Linked DNA regions of Cricetulus griseus. The protein of the gene in region 3 interacts with the protein of the main gene of each other region in a biochemical or structural test. Links are inferred from orthologs where the notes say so. Each region holds a gene or a part of one and is shown on either strand. Other genes may lie near its edges.

Region 1 (3,647 bases), on a different chromosome or scaffold from region 3:
CTACATGTGTATCTATGTATACCACATGCTTGCCTTGTGTTAGAAGATGTCAGATGCTCTGGAATTGCAGGCATTTGTGAGCTTCTATGCGTATGTTGGGAATCAAACCTGGGTCCTCTGGAGGAGCAGCAGGTGCTCTTAACCACTGAGCCATTTCAAGCCCCATCCTCAGCAATTCTTGAAAGCCATCAACAAATGCTGAGTTGCCAGGTTGAAGGGAAATGAAACTATAATGTAATCAGTGGCTATGAGTGAGTTACTTTATACATCACTTCATTAATCCTGTCCATAGAGCATTTGAGCAGTCAAGTTGCTTGACAAGGCCACACAGTCAACAGTGGAGTTAGGATCTGAATTCATTCAGTCTGTCTGAAGCAGTATAGTACTTAGAACAATCCTCTCAGGAATGCTAGAGGCCATTTTTAAAGATGCCATAGGTGTAAAGGGAACTAGGAAGGATTTTAGAAGCGAGAATGCAGTCTGAGAGGCTCTGAAAACAAGATGGTATGTCTCTGTGCCTTGGTTATTCTGGTCCACAGATTCAGGCACAGTCAGAGCATTGAAAATGAATGTTCTTTGTTGCAAACAGTTAAGGGCATCTCGTGAGATCAGAAGATACTACAGACATTCCAACAGCTCTTGCTGCTTACGCCAGAAGGAAGACCTTCAGTCTTCACTGTAAGATTGCCTCTGTGTAGGACACATTTCAAAGGGCTAGTGTCTAAATTTATCTGTCTTCCCTTTCCTTCAGTGCTGGGGATGGAAACCAGGCCTTTGTATATACTAGACACGCACTCTGCCCTAGCCATCCCTAGCTGTCCTTTATCTAGGTAGCACTTGCTGGCACAGAATTAGAGCAGGAGTTAAATTCCTCTAGAACACAAACTTTGCACAGGAGCTAGCTGCTGCTTCCTTTCAAATGCTCTGGAGGCTGGTCAGAAGAAGGCTCAGGAAGGTTGTAGGTCCTGCCGACTCCATGCTGTGGGACTGCCTGCCCGCAGAGAGCAAGCCTTTAGGAACTGGGGTACTACTTAGCAGACTCCATGTGACTGATGTTCTCTCTCACCATAGTGGCTTCCGAAGCCTTTGAAGACGACAACTGTAGCAACTTAGTGTCTGAAGATGACTCAGAAACCCAGTCTGTATCCAGCTTTAGTTCAGGACCAACAAGTCCATCTGAAATTCCTGACCAGTTCCCTGCAGTGGCAAGACCCGGCAGCTTGGATCTGCCCAGCCCTGTGTCCCTGTCTGAATTTGGAATGATGTTTCCAATACTGGGCCCTCGAAGTGAATGCAGTGGGGCCTCCTCCCCTGAATGTGAGGTGGAACGAGGTAAGTTGCAACCCAACTTGTGGATTGTTTGTGCCTTTGCTTGGGCTCTGCCTGACCAGCTTCAATAACATAGAACTTAGGTCCTTTGTCTCTCCTTAGAACAGTCCCCTTCACTGGTTTGATTCCTAGCTACAAAATGAGGATGAGTGTATCTCTAAAGATACACACTAAGGAATAAATGCAGTGTATCACCCAGTGCTGGAGAACCCCTGAGATGCATGGTGGGTGGCGTGGGAACTGCAGAGGGCTCAGGCGGCTGATGCCAGTGCCTATGGTACTCTTGGAACTGTCAACTCCCATTTGGCAACCTTTGTATCTCTACAGGAGACAGAGCAGAAGGGGCTGAGAATAAAACGAGTGACAAAGCCAACAACAACCGCATTTTCGGCAACAGCAACAGTGGTGGTAGCAGGGGCAGGAGCCAAAGCAGCACATCCCTTGAGGGCCAGACCTTGGAAACCCGTATGAAGCAACTCTCTCTACAATGCTCAAAAGGAAGAGATGGGATTATTGCTGACATAAAAATGGTGCAGATTGGCTGATCCATGTGCAATGGATGGCTATGGATGGCTATGACCCATGTGCAAATCACATTTATACATGAAACTCAAGAAACATCGTGCCAATAATCATTTAACATAAGCCAAATAGTATGCATTTACTCTAAACTGCACTAACCAAGTTTCAGTGATCTTGAGGGCTGAAGAATTTCCCTCTGATAAGAGCTCTTGGGCTGGTGTGTTTTTCAGAGCAGAGCCATTGCAGATAAACTGTGACCAGGGTCACAGCCTTTGCAGAACATTCCCTGTAGCGGCAGTGTGGAAGCAATAACTAGTTTCTGTGAAAGAACCTGAGCCAGGAGGAGAACTGGACACTTAGCCAGACTGGGGTCACCAGCCTACATCTCTATCCCCTCTGCCCCCTCTGTTTGGGGAAACTGAGATGTTTTCTCCATTATATCACAGGGCACCAAAATAATTTTCAAACTCACACAAAAACTCAAGTGTTCAGAACACATTGTTTTGACCTAGTGAAAGCTTAAAAACAATGCCAAGAACACAATTCATCTTCATCACCTCTGGTGCTCAGAGGGGGATTTAAAAAAAAAAAAAAAAAAAAAAAAAAAAAGCATGTCTTCTGGGACACCAATTAAAACCATTTCCTAGGAAAGCCACCATGAACTGCACTTTTGGGGGGTGGGAAAGGTGAATGAATGCCAATGTGGGGATGGGTAATGAGGTTGCAGGGACATAGCATAGAGGGGATTTGTGGCTGTGGGAGGCTCTATAGCCTGACTTTAGCCTGCCAGCCAAGGGGGGGTATATTCTAAGACAAGTGCATGTGAAGAATGGTTGCCACTGTTCTATCTAGACTGACAAGAAGTTAATTTCTCTGTAGGCTGTAACTTCTACAATAATTGCAATTATTTAAGGTTTATGCTGCACCTAGTATTCCTTAGAGGAAACGGTCCTTAAAGCTAGGAAAGGGAGTGGGCATGTACTGGCAAAGGCTGGTAAATAGAAGCAATGGATGCCATGATAATAGTGTGTTTAGACTTAGTGTTTATGGTTATGCATATTTAGGGCACTGTATTTTATCTGTCCTGTTTTATTGATTTGGCTTTTCTGAAGAAAAAAGCACCCCCTCCTCCATTTCTTAATTGTCTCTTAATTCTGTCACAGCTTGTATATTTTAGCCATGTATGTATAGCTTCATACAACAGTGGTTTCTCCTTTTTTATTGATGGATACAGTATCCTAATTACAAGGTTATTTTGTACTTGTTTTAATACCTTGAGGGTAATAAAAACTAAGAAAACTTTGTGACTTCAGATGAGAAAGCCTGCTGTTGTCTTACTCTGGGAAATGCCATCGCTTTAAGAAAGCCCATAGAGTGCAGTGGGCATCTGCTCTCTTTTTCAGGTAAGATGGTAATCCTGGTCATTTAAGATCAATCCCAAGGTCTGGATTCGAATTCTACTCATGCATGGTGTTACACAGGTGTGCACCAAGGAGAGACAGGCAGGCAGCCCACAGGTGACACTCAGCTTCACTGGGGTGGGGGTAGGGGTGGGATAGGGGCTAACATCCTGTGATATGGTTTGTCAGTCTGATTTAATTTGTGGTACACCTGGGCACTTTTTCAAAGGAGTATCAGATTTTAATGTATATGCTGCATACTGAAATGTGTTGTGGGATAAGTGCCCAGTTAGTGTTGCCTATTAATGTTCTCAGAAGTCCCTTTCAACTGCTCTGTTCCCTGTAGCCGAGACTTTGTTTATTTCTCCTTCCTATCAACATTTGTGAGGTAAAGTT
Region 2 (4,184 bases), on a different chromosome or scaffold from region 3:
TGTGTGTGTGTGTGTAGTGTTAATTGTGTGTTTGGCACTCTATTCAATGCTATAGATACATGTTCACCATAGCAAAAATACACTTTGTGGATGAGGAAATAAGGCTTCAGAAAACCTAAATGATTTACTCAGAGGATCCAAGGAAGAGATAGATAATAGATGTGAGCTCAGGTCAACACATTTATTTATATTAGTTTTGGATCACTGGGCTCCTTTGTTCATCAATGTGTGATTATCATAAACAGCTTCCACTCATTGTTTAGACACTACAGACTGGTTTTTGTTACACGTCAAAGTAGGAAGTAGGAAAGCAAAGAAAGTCCTTGTACTGGGAGAGCTGGGGAACTAGGTCTCCAGTGTTCATTTCTTCCTCACTTTGCACTAGCAACTTAATGTTCTACAAAGTCTACAAAACAGGTAATCAGGCTGAACCAGCATAAGAAGATACCGAGTTTAACTCTGTTTATTAGATTAAGAGTGCTAGTGGCTCATATAGTAACACAAACATGACAGAGAGGTTCAACCAACTCCAGGATCCTAGCGCTGTTTTTCTTTTTTTCTTTTTTTTCTTCTCTGAGTCATGCTACTCCTCCCTGAATACTTATTTACTTAAGCGCCTCTGTATCAGACTTCAGCAGCAGCAGTGTGTTTCCCATACTGGACTGATTATTGGCTTGCTTTTCTCCGTAACAGTTTTCAACTTTTAAAATGGCCTTTAGATTTAGAGTTAAAGGGAGAAAACCTATTGCAAGCCTTGCCTCAGGTACCGAGTGATGAGTGATGTGACCTAAGTCAGCAGCTGATCGAACAGTGGGGAATCTGAAAATGCTATAGTGCTTTCTGACAAAGGGAGTGACACTCAGACAATCCGGGTACATCAGGGGCTCACAGAGCAGCAGGGCTGACTCTTGGGGAGAGGACACCTCTGGTTTCCCAGTCACCCCACTTTGCTAAGATGCCTATGCTTTCACTGAGTGGTGACGGCTGCTTGGGTATCCAGCCAGCTTCTTGTTTTCTCCGTCCCGGCCGTATTCTCCCTTCCGAGTCTTGACCTGCCGGGAGACAGATCTACTAGGATGACATCTGGCACCAAGAGGGACACTGCTGGTTCTGGGTGCAAGGCGGCAAGCCAGTGTCTACAGCCCCAAGGCCGGCAGGGTCAAGTTCCTCTGGGACTCTAGGGGAAGGCCACAGCTGAGGTGCTGCCACGCTAGGCCTTGTGGGCAGGCCCCGACCAATCACCGTGGGGTATACACGAACTCCAGCCAATCAGCGCCTGCCTTGTTCCCGAGTCCCGCCCGCTCTAGCCCAGGTCCCCGAACCCCGTCCCGGCGCCGGCATTCGCGGCTGTCGCTGCAGCCGCCTCCGGAGCCGACTCGGGCAGCCCGGTTCCTGGCGTCCTTCGTTGTCCCCTGTCGCCTTCACTGAAGATGAGTCCCTGCGCGGCCGCGCGCTTTCCCAGCGGAGACCCCCGGCGCACCTTCATCTAGCGACTGGTGAGGGAGGAGGCGACGGCGTCCTGCCAGCCCGGCGGGGGAGCAGGGCCCGGGGAGGGGACTCGCGGAGGGGTGGCTTCGAGCTCCGCGCCGCGTGGCACGGGCGAGTGGCCCGGGAGCGCAGCCCCGCCGCCCCCTCCAGCTAATGAATGGCCTGGTCCCGCGAAGTGCTACGTCGCCCGGCTGCCCGACACGCCCTCCAGCGACGTTGCACTTCTAGTTCCGAGAGTTGTCTGGCGTCACTTCCTAGAGGCTCCCTTGTCCCCTAAACCCTTAGTGGAGTTTACAAAGTCTGAGCTCAGGTGGACCTTGCTGAGTTTGCAGAAAGATTTACTGCTGGGTGGAGAGGGACTGTGTCTGTTGTGCAGAGATAGGATAAAGAGGCCTTTGGCTCGTAGCTATCAGGTTGCAAGGGAATGTTAGTTCAGAGGGGAAGTGGCCAACCCCATACCTAAGGCCAGGTTTGACTTGATTATCTGATGTTCCAACTTAGTCGTAAAACTTGAGTTGTGTTAGCCAGAGGGGATGTTTTGCAACAAGCAAATGCTGAGTAGCCCTGTTCTTTTACCTCGAAGTAAGACATTTGAAGAAATTCGTCAGACATACTGAAAAGAGTGGTGGTGCCTTAAAAGATTACATTTTTTTTTTTTCGTTTTTAAATAGTGTTGCTACCTCCCTAATGCAAATTCGCAGGCATTTTTGGTCAGTGCCTCACTTCCTTGTTGAAATATTTTGATTTGTTTTTTATTGTGTTAGACCTACTTCATGGTAAATGTGGAGACAGAACTTTTTTTTTTTTAAACGTGTTTTCTAAAAAAGTGTTTGCAAAACTTTAGTCATATCGCAGTTTGAAGAAAAAGGTTGGCTATGTTGGTTTTCACTTTTAATAAAACTTTTTTGAAGGACTTTCGGTATGCTAATTTTTGTGTGATGATTTCACTTCCTTCTTAACTTTCAAGATGCTTCTGGATTGTAAACTTCTAGACTGAATGAGTGTACTTACTAAAGGATGTCGGTATGACTTGTTACTTTCAGTGACACAAATTAGTTTCTTATTACGGGGGACTACTGCTTTGCCACATCCGGATGCACTTATTGCCCCCTAAATTTTGGGCAGATTTTCTTTTATGAAAACGAGATAGATACTGACCTAAACTAAGTTTCTAGGTCTTTTACACAGAGAATATTTGAGAACGATATGAATTACAGTATCAATAGAACTAAATTATTTAAACCATTGTAAGTGCTTATTTTTAAAAATGTGTTTAGGTTTATAAAAACTTTTCTCTGATTATGACTTGTAATCTGCAGCTTGTAGCACTTACATTAATAAAGATACAGGTGTACAGGGGAGGTGTTTTGGTGTTAAAGAGCTCAGTGAAAACAGTCCTGCTTACTGATTGTGAAAATTAAGAGGAAGTATAACGTGCTTCCCTCCCATCCTGCAAGGACACATGTCAGCAAGGCATGTATCTCCAAGGGAGGTCATTGTCAGTAGCTCACAAAGGAAGAAATGGAGGAATAGGGACCTCGAGTCACTTGTCTATGGTTCTAGGTGTAGCAACCCCAAGGACAGTTTTTCTTGACTACACAGTGTTATATCCTATTGACATTCCTAAATGTTGTCTGAGAGCCAGTTGTTTAACAAGTGCCATCCAGGGCACTCCTCTCTCTGTATGATTTTTAGGTAGGCTACTTGTTTCCTCATGGTAAGGTAGTCATATTTATAGTCACTAGTAGGGTTGAAATGAGACTTCGTTACTTTAGGTAAAGCTCTGTATGTACATGTCCATATGAAAGTTCAAAAGATGGTAGATACTATTTTATAAGCACTGAAACGTAGCCTTTTAAAGATTTGGTTGACAAGTATTTCAAAAAGAAAGGGTCCTAATATAGTATAGATGTTTTCTGACTTATTTACCAAGATGTCTTAGAACAGGTCAAGAGATACCTTTAAATCTCCTTTTTACAAGTGAAAATATTGAAACTTAGAGAAAGTAAGTGGTATGTTCAGGGTCCTTAGGTAGTTATGTACTTGCCTTAACTAGCTTGGGTGTTCTGAATTCAGAATCTGAGCATTGTGTATTCTATTACACAGTCTTAGTTACTGTTCTGCTATTGTGAAACACCATGTCCAAAGTGACTTATAGACAATATTGAATTGTTATTAGCGTGCTTACAGTTTCAGGGTTAGTCCTTGATATTTTGACAAGGAGCATTGGCAGCAGGCATGCTGGCATGGCTCTGTAGCAGTAGTTCAGAGCTCAAGTCTGATCCTCCAAATAGAGGCAGAGAGACAGAGACACTGAGACTGGGCCTAGTGTGGGCTTTTGAAACTTCAAAGCCCACCCCCAATGACATACCTCTAACAAGGCCACACTTTCCCAACATAGCCACACCCTAACTCTGTTCAACTAAGTGAGGACCAGACATTAAACATTGGATCTTTTGGGGGCATTATCATTCATACCACCACAAATACCTGTGCCCATCTGAAACTCTACCTGGGCTTCCAACGGTATTTTTTTTCTTGTTTGAGAATTTCTTACATGCATATAGGGTCTTTTGATTAAACCTACTTTCCATTTCTTCCCCTCCAGTTCCTTCTCACCACTGTTCTCTTCCATTTTAATATCTTAAAAACAAACAAACAAACAAACTCACTTAGGCCACTTAATGCTGCCTGTA
Region 3 (4,124 bases):
CTCCGTAGTGGAAATTGATAGACAGATTACATATAGACAGACAGATAGATACATCAAAAGTTTAGCCAAGCATGCTGATGCACGCCTTTAATCCTAGCACTCAGGGGGCTCCATAGTCTCAAATAGACAGATAGATAATTAATTAAAACATTTTAAAGGGAAAAGAAGAAGGAGAGGGACAGAGAAAGACACTTACCTGACTTGGACCTCTGGCTTCCACATGCACACAAACAGGTTTACATACATTTACACACACTTATACATACATATACACACCCAGAAAATAAATAAATAAATCTAAAATGCCAACTCCCTCCCCCCAAAAATACAGGTAGCTTGCAAAGCAAGATATATAGTAGCATTGTATTCTAGTTATATAATATATAGGTGCATGTGTATCGCTAGTGGAGAAAACATATTTAAACCTGTATATACCAGAATGATAATTATTATTTAAATGAATAATGGGTTTATATATCTTTTTATCTTAGTTTTGTGATTTCTATATTTTTCCATTTTCTATCCTAGATATGCATAATCTTATAAACAGGAAAAATAAAATGACAAAAAAATCAATTCAGTAATCATCCGGTGCTATTCCTTGGAAACAGCCTGGGAATTCAGGAAGAATAAAGCTGACTTGTTATCACCAATTCATGGAAGACTGAAGACTTTTCGGGCTGGAAAGATGGCTCACTGGTTAAGAGTACATAACTATTCTCCCAGAGGATCCAAGCTTGGTCCCAAGAAGACACGTCCACTCACAACCACCTGAAATTCTAACTCAGGGATCTGACGCTGGCCTTTGTATACACACAATGCACACACTCAACACACACACACACACACACACACACACACACACACACACACACACACACACTGGCCTCTGTATACACACAATGCACACACTCAACTCACACACACAATTAAAAATAAAATATATTTTCAAAAAAAGCAAGCAAATTCTCTTTTGGCAAATTCTTTTTTAATCTCTCTCTCTCTCTCTTTCTGTCTGTCTGTCTGTCTGTCTGTCTGTCTGTTTGTCTGTCTGTACGTACTTATTTTCCAGAGCATGCCTGTGGGGGTCAGAGGATAGCTTCCAGTGTCAGTCCTCATCTTCCACCTTCTTTGAGACATGGTCACTTTTTCAGTCGTTGCATATGCCAGACTAATTGGACCTTGAGTTTCTAGAATTCTCCTGTCTCCACCTCCCATGTTGCCACAGGAGGGCTGAGATTTCAGGTGCGAATACACTCCTGGGTCTGGCTTTAGGTGGGTTCTGGGGATTCTTGCCTGGCAAGCACTTTACCACTGAACCATTGCCTAAATGACAAGCTTTTCTTTCTTTCTTTCTTTCTTTCTTCCTTCCTTTCTTTCTCTTTCTTACATTTTTGCTTTCTATGTGTTTCGTGTGTGTGTGTGTGTCCACACTCGTACCACAGTTCTCATGTGGAGGTAAGCAGACAATTTTCAGGAGTTGGTTCTCTCCTTCCACTGTGTGAGGTTCAAGGGATAGAACTCAAGTCATCAGACTTGCCAGCAATTTCCCTTACCCACTTGGCAATCTCACTGGCTCCTGATGAAGAGTTTCTAAAGAAACAAAACTGTTCTACAATGCACTACAACACCACCATTCTATTTGGAGTATTTGCAAGTTCCAAGCGCCTTACAAACTGCAGCTCCCCCTCTTTGACACTAGCTTCTTACCGGAATCTGTCTTTCTGGTGGAGGATTTTTTTCAGGAACTACTGTCTCAACGCAGGTGATCTTCTCAACATCTATTGAACCTTTCTTACTGCCTCTTCTCTGAAGGAAGGAGGAAGAAAACGCAGGAAGATTAAGAATGATCAAGCGTTCAGACGTTTACACACATTGTTATCTTATCATCCTCTGTGGTAGGTAGCTCACATATTCTAACAGATCCTGGTTTCTCTTTGTTTGGGGTCTCACTATGTAGCCCTGGCTGGCCTGGAACTCACTATGTAGACCCGAGTGCTGGCATTAGTGTGTGCCATTGTACCTGGCAAAACCTGTCATTTTTAAAGTAAAAAATAATCCAACATTTATCTAGTCTTTAAATACCAAATAGGAGGAAGATGACAAGGAAGAATAAATGATTATAGTCAATTTCGTCACAAGAAACAAAAAAGGCAGGCTGGGTGGTGGTGCCACACACCTTTAATCCCAGCACTGAAGGGCAGGGGTTCTCAGTAAGTTCGAGGGCAGCCTGGTCTACAAAGCAAGTTCCAGGACAGCCAGGACTGTTACACAGAGAAACCCTGTCTCAAAAAACAAAAACAAAAACAAAAACAAAAAACAAAACAACAACAAAAAAACCCACCACCACCACCAAAAAACCAAACCAAACAAAATGACAACAGGGAATAGAAATAAAAAAGGCAACTTTGAATCCTTGGATTGTATTCTCAAGAGGCATGTAAAGAGCTTTTACCAACCGCAAGATTCCATGGAAGACACTCTGAACAGCTTCTAACACTCTTGAATTTTTCCCTGGCTTGACTGCACCTACTCCCAGTCTAAGAAATATTTTTTAAGAGTTTGAAGTACTTAAGTCTATTTTATTTCTACCCCCACATACACCTCCCCTTCTACCATGGATGACCTATCTCATGTCTCACATATCTAAGATCCAATCCTTGAAATGGAGAAATCCAGACTTCACGTTTGGGAAACTTACCCCACGTTCAAAGTCATACTCATAGTAGGAAAGTTTTTGCACAGTCAAGAGAAATAGGCGCTTCTTAAAGTTTAAAGGTGAGGTTTTCTTTTTCTGTTGGGAGCGCTTCAGAAAGATGCTCTCCAGGATCACTGCAGCCATGGCTTCCTCTCTCCAGATCTCACCTGGGTGCTGTGGATAATGCAAGGTTTTGAGGATCTAGCATAGTCATCTCTAATCCCTCCTGGTTCTACCTCTGCCCTGCTACCTGTTTTAAATGAAACCCTCACGTGCAACACTAGCAAGGAAACATTTTTCCTGACCTCCTTCTTCCAAAGTCCCCAACTCTGTCAAATTTCAGAATCAGTGAATGCACACTGAACAAAGCCTGGCTTCTTACATAAGGGAACCAATGTTCTAGATAATCCACGACATATACTAGGTTGTTTAGCAATGTCTAGACACCACTCTAAACTACTTAACCTTTTTATGACACACGGCCAGAATCTGTAAATGGCAAAAATGTCTGTGAAACTCTTGACCCTGATATTCTCAGAAGGAATCATTCAGGTACCAGAATTTCACTAAGGCAGATACTGGACTTTCAGTTCCCAGTTTCCTGAACAATAAATGTAATTTTTTTCAAAAGCTGACCAATTCAGGTCTGTAGACAAAAGAACATTGGTGGGTTCACCTGTACTCATGAACACACAATAGCTGCCATTCGACTGATTTAGTTCATGCCTTACTGTCTGGGTTATAAAGGAGTGAAGCTTTGTTTCCAAGTTGAAAACCGTTTTACTACAGTATATTAGTGCTTCGGCTCTCGCTCCCATTACGGTTTCCACAGATGATTCCCTTTAGATGGCACCAGGTAAAAGTGATGTAACCTGCAGCCTTCCGTTTCCAGCACCCATACCATGGCTTGCACCCACCCGTAACTCCAGTTCTAGGATATTCGGCGCCTTCTTCTGACCTCCATGGACACCAGACATGCAAGTGGTACATGTTGCGATAAAGCTTGAAGGGAACCTTGCATGGGGGACCTTGGTGGATTCCATGGCAGGCAAGGGTGACCAGGCGGGAAGCAGGGGGAGGGTGGCAGGGGGACAGGGACGGACATGCTAGGCAGACAGAGCTTAAGTGAGAAGTTTTATTGGAAAGGGGAGGGAGGAGGAAGGAAAAAGAAAAGAGGTAAAGAGGCAGAGACACACAGAGAGGACAGAAACGAAGAGGGAGACAGGAAACGTCCTGCCTGCCCCAGGGGAACCGCGGGGAAGACAGCTGGAAAGAGAGAGCAGGGAGAGAAGAGCAGGGAGAGCTGGAAAAAGAGAACCGGAAAAGAGAGCATAAGTGGGCGGGGTCTTTCTTTTTAAAGGGGTCCTTTGCACCTGCATGCAGACTACGCAATCATGGAACCCTGGGCTGACCAGGGTACTGCCTG

The links.
Region 1: the proteins of Btk (region 3) and Sh3bp5 form a complex in vitro, tested with the Homo sapiens proteins (2 studies listed by BioGRID, with this or other methods). The link is inferred for Cricetulus griseus from reciprocal best matches to the Homo sapiens genes BTK and SH3BP5.
Region 2: the proteins of Btk (region 3) and inhibitor of Bruton tyrosine kinase form a complex in vitro, tested with the Homo sapiens proteins (2 studies listed by BioGRID). The link is inferred for Cricetulus griseus from reciprocal best matches to the Homo sapiens genes BTK and IBTK.

The regions. Positions count from the first base shown.
Region 1 is NW_023276807.1:188,330,207-188,333,853, forward strand, and holds the end of Sh3bp5 (SH3 domain-binding protein 5), read left to right. Parts: intron 1-1,071; coding exon 1,072-1,332; intron 1,333-1,656; coding exon 1,657-1,874; 3' UTR 1,875-3,163; downstream 3,164-3,647. UniProt on the Homo sapiens protein: Functions as a guanine nucleotide exchange factor (GEF) with specificity for RAB11A and RAB25. Inhibits the auto- and transphosphorylation activity of BTK. Plays a negative regulatory role in BTK-related cytoplasmic signaling in B-cells.
Region 2 is NC_048597.1:195,941,801-195,945,984, reverse strand, and holds the start of inhibitor of Bruton tyrosine kinase, read left to right. Parts: upstream 1-1,291; 5' UTR 1,292-1,496; intron 1,497-4,184. UniProt on the Homo sapiens protein: Acts as an inhibitor of BTK tyrosine kinase activity, thereby playing a role in B-cell development. Down-regulates BTK kinase activity, leading to interference with BTK-mediated calcium mobilization and NF-kappa-B-driven transcription.
Region 3 is NC_048604.1:45,526,211-45,530,334, reverse strand, and holds the start of Btk (tyrosine-protein kinase BTK), read right to left. Parts: upstream 2,843-4,124; coding exon 2,702-2,842; intron 1,810-2,701; coding exon 1,711-1,809; intron 1-1,710. UniProt on the Homo sapiens protein: Non-receptor tyrosine kinase indispensable for B lymphocyte development, differentiation and signaling. Binding of antigen to the B-cell antigen receptor (BCR) triggers signaling that ultimately leads to B-cell activation.